Linked DNA regions of Cricetulus griseus. The protein of the gene in region 2 purifies or fractionates together with the protein of the main gene of each other region. This does not show direct contact. Links are inferred from orthologs where the notes say so. Each region holds a gene or a part of one and is shown on either strand. Other genes may lie near its edges.

Region 1 (3,942 bases), on a different chromosome or scaffold from region 2:
TTTCCCAGGATTTAGTCTTTTATCTTTCTGCTAAGTCGAGGGTCATATACTGACAGCCCTACAACAGTGGGCTAAAGTTTAAATAAGTTTAAAAACATCTTATTTAGTTACTAACATTTGACCATATGGATTTTACATACTTCCAAACCCAACTTTCTGATTCTTTTGGGGGAATAACAGTATCTGTTGATAATGGGCCAGCATCCCACAACACAGCATAGACACTGATAGAGCAGAAGCAGCTCCCTTGATGCATTTGTTATCCACATAGCTACAGCAAGAGGGTTGAGAATACAGTCCTAAGTCACATTCCAGTCGTGGGGGAAGAGGGGATCACTATAACATCTGGCAATAGGGCCCTTGTCAATTTACCATTGGTTGGGTAGGGTCCCCAGGCGCCTCCAGGGGAGAGGGAAGGGCTGAAGGATTTCACCAACTGGGGAACCTAACAGAAATAACATATTTTCACGGCGCCAAATACAGCTAAAGACGACTGAGGTGTCCTCGAGACACCCAGGAAGCCCTATCCTGGTCCTCTTAATTTCACACCCGGTTTTATAAGTCCCTTTTCTAGCTCACCAAAGCCACTGAGCAAAGACAGCCAGCTCTTCTAGCCGTCGATTTTGAGCACTGGACACTGTTGGGTAAGTGTGAAGGCGCGGGAACTCACTGGGTCTTACTCGGTAGCGGACCACAGTGCAGAGCTAAACCAGGGTTGGGCCCAGCTGGGTAGGGCCGAACCTTGGAGTCTCGTCCGACCCCACGGCCCAGCTCCGCGCGCTTAGTCCTCCCCCCCTTCACGGCTTTGGGGGAGAGAAAGAGCTAAAGAATCACAGCAACCAGGCGGAGATCCGACTGCCCAGAGGCCGCAAACCTCCGCCCAGGAAGCCCCACCCAACGGGAACCAGGACGCCTCCGCCTCAGCAAAGCCCACGCGCGACCGGGCGAGGGCGCGGAAGGGCGCGTGCGGCGTGACGACGCGACTCGCGGCGCATCTCGTGACGCCATCGCGCCTGCTTTTGAAAGTTGGCGCCCGGGGCCGCCTCCCATGCTGCCCTGCGCCAACCCCTCCCCTCACCTTTCCTCCCCCGCCCTCAACTCGCCGCCGGCCGGCCCCCCCCACCCGTCTCTTCCCTTATCAGCACCCGCGGCCCCGGCAGCGCCGACGCAGGCGCACTGCACCGCGCCGCCGCCATTTTGTGTCCGAGCCTGTGGAGCGATTAAACCGTGCGCGGAGCTGCTTCTTTGGCGGCAGCGGCGACAGTGGTAGCCAGTGCAGGCACGCGGAGCTGGCCGGGGACGCCAGGTGGCCGGAGCGGTGGAGCGGCGGCGGAGCGGGCGCCGCGGGGGGTGTGGCGCGAAGGTAAGGGGGCCCGGGGTGGAGGAGGTTTCGCGGGCCGCCTCTAGGTGTCACGATGGGGCCGCTCCGGTCGGCGCTGGCTGCAGCCCGGCGCCAGCGCCGCCGCCGGGGGGTGTTTGTCTCCCTCTACCGTCCCTGCTGCGGCGCGGCCGCCGCCATTGCCCGTCTCTGCCGCCAGGGCCTGGCCAACCCCCTCCACACCCGCCCGCTAGCTTCCCTCCTCCCAACATGGTAGGCCTCTGGCGGCGGTGGCGACAGAGGCCTGCGCGCTCGGCGACTCCATTTTCCTTCCTTTGTCTCTACCCTCGAGGCCGGCTTTTGGCCCGGCTGATCTTCAGGCCGCGGCCCGCCCTCTGCCCTCCGCCCCTCCCGCGAAAGGGGCCCTAACCGAGGCTGGACCTCTGAAGGCTGGGTTTTCGCGCTTGCCTCGCCTAGGGGTCTTAAGTCCTCTGCCGCCCGCGCGCAGCTAGGTCCCGGAACCGTGTGGGTGTCGGGTCCCTACCGACGCGCCTCGGACTGCCCCATCTTCCAGTCCACCCGGTCCCGGAACCTACCCGGCCGCCCTGAGTGCTTCTCCAGCAGCTGGAGTGCTCTCGAGTTTCTCCGAGAGTCCGATCATCGCCGCTGCTGGTCTCCGTCGCCGCCGAGTGGCGCAGGCGGCGCTGCTGTGGCTGCGATTAGAGGGACCCCTGAACTGCCGAGAGCTCCCTCTGCAAGGCTGGCTGAGCTGCTCGCGCCTCGACGCCGCCCGAGCGGGCGGGGGAACGCGCGCTCGCCGCCCCCGCCGGGCCCCGTTGCGCCCCCAAACTCCACGCCAGGGCATCGCGCGGGACCCGACCGGTGCGGCCCCCAATGGTGGGCGGAAAAGACAGAATTTCCGCACCAAAATAGTTTTTCCCCAGCTAGGTTCGCACTCTTGAGCCCGTTGGAATGATAGCAGTCAGACGTTGTGCGCTCAGAGATCGCAAAGGGACTGAAACTTAATTTCACTCAGATCTCAAGTGATGTGTTAAACTCCAAAAATCCGGAGCATGGGCTGGTTACGTTTGTACAAGCGACACTGGAGTTTGTCTCCGGTTTAAGATGTAACTTCGCACTCCACTTAGGACCTGATGCTCTGGGGCTAGGCTAAGATAGTTCAACCCCTTTGGGATTGTGCAACCCCATCTAAAGCGCCAATAGGGCAGAATGAACTTATTCTTGACTAGACTGGTAATTTGACTGTTCGATGAAATGTGAGGGCTGATGTTGTAATTGAATCTTGGGTCACTTGAAGCAGATGGTTTATAAATGTCTGTGTAACTAGTCTTTAGTAGCTGACTTCCTGTATTGGGTTTAGCATTAAGTAAACATCGGCATAGAGACAATACTTTTTGGAGTTTAGGTTAACTAAGAAAGCTAAAATTCCACGGCCTCCATAGGCAGGAAAAGAAATTTAACAGCATTTAAGTCCTGACTTAAATAAACTGACTTTTAAGTCCTTTGCATTAATCTGTTAAATTGCTGGAGTAACCTTTATGGTTCGACTGTTTCCCCCCAACTCCATAATTTATTACCAATTAGCTGCTGATGTGTGGCTAAGGTTCTTGAGTAGAAAAGAAAGTCTAGGTTGATATTTTTTTTTAAAGAAGATATTTAAGCTTATGAAGCATTTTAAAAATCTCCCTCCATCCCGACAGTTTATCTCTGTAGCCCTGGTTGGCCTCATACTTAGGAGATCCACCTGCCTCTGTCTCCCGAGTGCTGGGATTAGAGGTGTGCTCTGACATGCTCTGCTTGCTTTAAAAAAAAAAAAAAAAAAAAAGTGCTACACTCATCCCTGATTTCGAGACCAGCCAGGTCTACAAGAGTTAGTTCCAGGACAGCCTCCAAAGCCACAGAGAAACCCTGTCTCAGGGAAAAAGAAAAAAAAAAAAAAGTGTGATAATATGCGTGATCTCAATTTGTAGGCCCTGGCAACCCACGTTGTATGCAAATCTTTCAACACTCCCCAATGTTTATGCCATTCCTTCCCTCTCTCCCTTAAATGAACCTAGTATTCTTTGTGGCCTTACTAGCCACATTGAAATCCTACGCAACTTTGATTTTTGTGGTGGTTGTACATGTCTTGCAAATGTCCTACCTTTGAGGTATGTTCCCATTCAGCATCTCATCCCTTCTTTGAATTCTTCAGAATGTTCTTCCTCACCTTCCCCCACAATAAAATTTCACTGAGTAACTAAATGTAGTGGTATCAGCCTTTTGTAGAACCATCTTTCTTTTTCTAATATACTAGGCCCAGCTATGTAACTTATTGCATTCTTTTCAATTTTACTGTCAAGTGTACAAGTTCCCAGTGGTGGTATATGCTAGTACTTTCGAAGTAGTGGCAAGAGGATGGGGAGTTCAAGGTCATCCTTAGCTTTGTAGCAAATATGATACATGAGACTGCCTTAAAAGAGAGTAGTTGGAATTTGTTTTTAGTACTGGACCTTGAGTAAACTAGGCAAGTTATAAATCCCATTTTTATTAGCTGGGTGGTGGTGGCTCACACCTTTCATTCCAGCACTAAGGAGGCAGCAGCAGGTGGATTTCTGAGTTCG
Region 2 (3,973 bases):
TAAGCCTCAAACCACCTCAGACATCAAGAGTACATCTGTGCCCAGAGATGAAGGTGGTGAGTGAGAACCTGAGCCTATACCTGTTCAGCTCTCACGATCCGTGATCATTTACAGAAAAACAGGCAGTTTCCACTCACCCTAACTAGTCTTTGCCCCAGTCCCTTCAGCCAGGCACATTAACAAATAGGAATAAAGCAGTGCGGGTCTGGGTTGGAGCTCCGACACCAAGCTCCAATGACAGCTGCACCACCCCAACAGCATCGACTCAATCCTCTCCCTCCACGGGGGCACCAAGAGCCATTACCTGTCCAGCTGCTGGCATGCCTGGCAGAGACCTTCGCAAGGTGTACGGCTTGAGCCGCAGTGACACTTGCGCTGGGCTATGGGGAGACAAGGCTGTTCCCAATTCCCCCACAAGCTTTCATTCTGAACCCTCAGGGTAAGCTCAGATCTGTCAGCTCCGAAGGCTGCACAGGAGATAGGGACGGCAGCTTAGCAAAGGAACCAACAGTGCAGACAGGGAAGTAGAGTAGGCCGGCAGGCCTGGCTGTAGCTTACCTGATGTGGCGCTGGCGGATGAGCACTCGGGCGTGGTGGATGGACTTGGCCAGGCCCAGCTTAAAGACCTGGGTCTGCAGCCGCCTCTCCAGGAAGTCCTCAATCTTCAGGCCCAGGATGTAATCCAGCTTCATCTTGCCCTCGTCCAGCACCCCAATGCGAACAAGTCGCCTCAGCAGGGCATTGCCTGGGGAAGGGAGGAGTGTGACCCAGATCAGGCCTCACCTCAGAGCCTCCGGAAGGTCACTACAGCCGTCATCCATTTTTGCAAGGAGCGCAGGAAAAACAGCGATGTGCCTAATGATAACCTTCCTTCTATGAGCTCCTGGTTTCGACCCTGACACGGCCGCTGGATCAGCCTTTCAACAGCAGGCATCTCACCACAGGCTGTCACTCAGCCCTCACCACTACCATGGGAACTTCCACTCCCAACCTAAGATAACATGCTGCTTTCACAACAACAATCACAGTACTGGGGGAAACCAAAAGATAATCTAGACTACACAGCACCAGATAAATAAAAACTCACATCTATTCTCCCAGGAGTTTGAAAGAAATCTACTCTAACTGAAGGCCCAGTCACCTAGAAAGAAACCCTAAGAATAAAGAACCAAACCAAAGAAAAACGTACACCATCTATGTTATTTCAACACCCTAAAATAGACTCAAATTACGATGTTTTAGGCGGGCGTTGGTGGTGCACGCCTTTTAAATAGAAGCACTCGGGAGGCAGAGGCAGGCGGATCTCTGTGAGTTCGAGGCCAGCCTGGTCTCCAGAGCGAGTGCCAGGATAGGCTCCAAAGCTACAGAGAAACCCTGTCTCGAAAAACCAAAAAAAAAAAAAAAAAAAAAAAAAAAGATGGCTTCACTCCAAAGTCATCCCTGGGAGGCTGGCTGCCTGGACAATCTTCACTTCGGCTCACGAAAACCGCAGACCACCCTCATCTACCATTCATTCTCCTGTCACTGACCCCAAAGGAGCAATCTGTTCCCCAAACTCCCCTAAGCAAAGGGACGTGCCCTGACACCTGCAAGCCCCACACTCCTGCAAGAGTCTGGAAAGTCCAGACTCCAGGACGTTGGAAGACCAATCTCCACCAGATACTGCCCCCAAGGCTAGCGCAGCCGTGTCCACCGCCGTACCTCCCGGGACCACCAGTGCGGCCTGCGAACTCTGCAGCCCCACCCGCCACCGCTCACCCTTTTGCAGACGGGCCGGTACGCACCTTCGAAAAGACGCCGTGGGTCCTTTTCGTCCAGGGTCAGCAGCTCCCGGGCGGCCTTGCGGATCTTGGCCAGGGTAAACTTGACCCTCCACACCTCGCGCTTGTTCCGGAGCCCGTATTCTCCTGCACGGCGGGGGACCAGGGTGATGCGTTAGTTAACGATCACACTTGCATCCGTCGGCCACACACTCAGGACTCAAAACCGATGCAGGCCACACCCCTGCGCGGCGCCCAGGGCGAGCACACGTGGGAGGGCAGCCCTGGTGGCTACCTAACTCTTCCCCGATCGCCACCCTTCCCTCCTCTCCCTGCCATCTGAAACCCCACCCTGGCCGCTCACCTGCACGCTGGGTGGGCGGGGACCAGGGTGATGCGTTAACGATCACACTTGCACCGATCGGCCACACTCGGCTCTCAAAACCGATGCAGGCCGCCACAAGCCTGCGCGGCGCCCAGGGCGAGCACACGTGGGAGGGCCGACCTCGTGGCTACCGAACTCCTCTCCGATCATCCCTCCCCGCAATCTGAACCCCACCCTGGCTGCTCACCTATCAGCTTCAGCTCCTGATCGAGACGCGACTTCTCGAAGGGCCTCCGTGGGGTGACATAGGTTTTGCGACAAACCCAACTTCTGGCAACCGGCATGGTGGCGACTCAGGGCCCGCCGCGCCTGCGCACAAAGGATAAGGTTTAAAAAAAAAAGCAGTGGCGCATGCGCAGTGACTCCCCCCCCCCCCCGCGCGCGCCCCAGCACACCGCGGCCTGGCCCGGCTCTCGGAGACGCTGCCGTCACCACGTCCGACCGCCCTCCCTCCAGCCCCGCTCCCTCTGCGTGTCCGGATGGCTCCGCTAGCCCCGCCGAAGGCACCGAGGACCCCGCGCGCGACGCTCACCTCGGAACTCACGCCGGCGACAAAGAGACCCGCGGCCGCCGCGCCGCGCTTTTATAGCAGCGTGGCCTGGCCGTGACGTCAGCGCGCACGGCTCGCGGCTCCGCCAATCACAAGCGGGAAGGCGATAGAGCGGAGGCTCGGGTGGTGGGCCAGAGCGGCGCCGCGCTGGGCGGACTTCAGCGGTGCGGTGAGCCTCAGGCGGCTCACCGGCCCTGGTGACGTCCTTGTTATAAATCCAAGGATTTATGTGGGCTGCCGCTGCTGGGGCACAGACGCAGGGTGACGCCACGCACTGCGGTGGCTGGTTTTTTTTGCTTTAACAAAGACCCAGGGCAGCTGCCAAGGTTCCCCAGCAATGCTAGCATTGTAGGTCTCTGGGCCTGCCTCCCTGCTGGGCTTACACTGTGAGATATGCTTGCCCTTGTGCCTGTTGGGTTTGTTTGTTTGTTTTGTTTTTTTCAGCTTGACGCAAAGCTAGACATATCTAGAAAGAAGAACTCTTAGATAAGAAAACGTACCCCCCCCATCATCTTGGCCTCTGAGTCTCTCCTATTTTATTTGTTGTTTTGAGAAAGGGTTTCCCACCCAAGTGACCATAAATTCCTAATCCTCCTGCTGCTGATAACTTCCCAAATGATGGGATTACAACCCATTTTCCTGAAGATATTTTCTTTTCTTTTTCTTTTCCTTTTTTTTTTTTGCAGATTTTTTTATTTGAATTAGAAACAAGATTGTTTTACTTGTCAATCCCAGTTCCCTCTCCCTCCCGTCTTCCCCTACCACCCTCCCCAAGTAAAACCCTACCTATCACATATCCTTTCTGCTCCCCCTGGAGAGTGAAGCCTTCCGTAGGATGTCATCAGTCTGTCATATCCTTTGGGATAGGGCCTAGGGTCACCCCCCCCCCCATGTGTCTTGGCTCAGGGAATATCGCTCTATGTGGAATGGGCTCCCAAAGTCCACACCTAGGCTAGGGATAAGTACTGAACTATTGCAGGAGGTCCTGTAGATTTCCGAGGTCTCCTCACTGAAACCCATGTTCCTGGGGTCTGGATCAGTCCCATGCTGATATCCCAGCTACCAGTCTGGGGAGCAAGAGTTCCCTGGTCAGCTGTTTCTGTGGGTTTCACCAGCCTGGTCTGGACCCCTTGGCTCATCACTCGTCTTTCTCTGCAACTGGATTCCAGTTCAGTTCAGTCTGAAGATATTTTCTTTTTCGTTTGGTTGGGATCCCCCCCTACTACCCTGCCAAGACTGGTCTTTCTACTTAGTCCTGGATGTCCTGGAGCTAGCAGA

What was found. The genes of interacting proteins can lie anywhere in the genome.
Region 1: the proteins of Rps9 (region 2) and Ctcf purify together in Homo sapiens (affinity purification with mass spectrometry; 3 studies listed by BioGRID and IntAct, with this or other methods). This does not show direct contact. The link is inferred for Cricetulus griseus from reciprocal best matches to the Homo sapiens genes RPS9 and CTCF.

What each region holds. Positions count from the first base shown.
Region 1 is NC_048596.1:181,921,797-181,925,738, forward strand, and holds the start of Ctcf (transcriptional repressor CTCF), read left to right. Parts: upstream 1-1,142; 5' UTR 1,143-1,363; intron 1,364-3,942.
Region 2 is NC_048602.1:21,628,018-21,631,990, reverse strand, and holds the start of Rps9 (40S ribosomal protein S9), read right to left. Parts: upstream 2,801-3,973; 5' UTR 2,678-2,800; intron 2,455-2,677; 5' UTR 2,430-2,454; coding exon 2,333-2,429; intron 1,908-2,332; coding exon 1,785-1,907; intron 746-1,784; coding exon 559-745; intron 1-558. UniProt on the Homo sapiens protein: Component of the small ribosomal subunit. The ribosome is a large ribonucleoprotein complex responsible for the synthesis of proteins in the cell. Part of the small subunit (SSU) processome, first precursor of the small eukaryotic ribosomal subunit.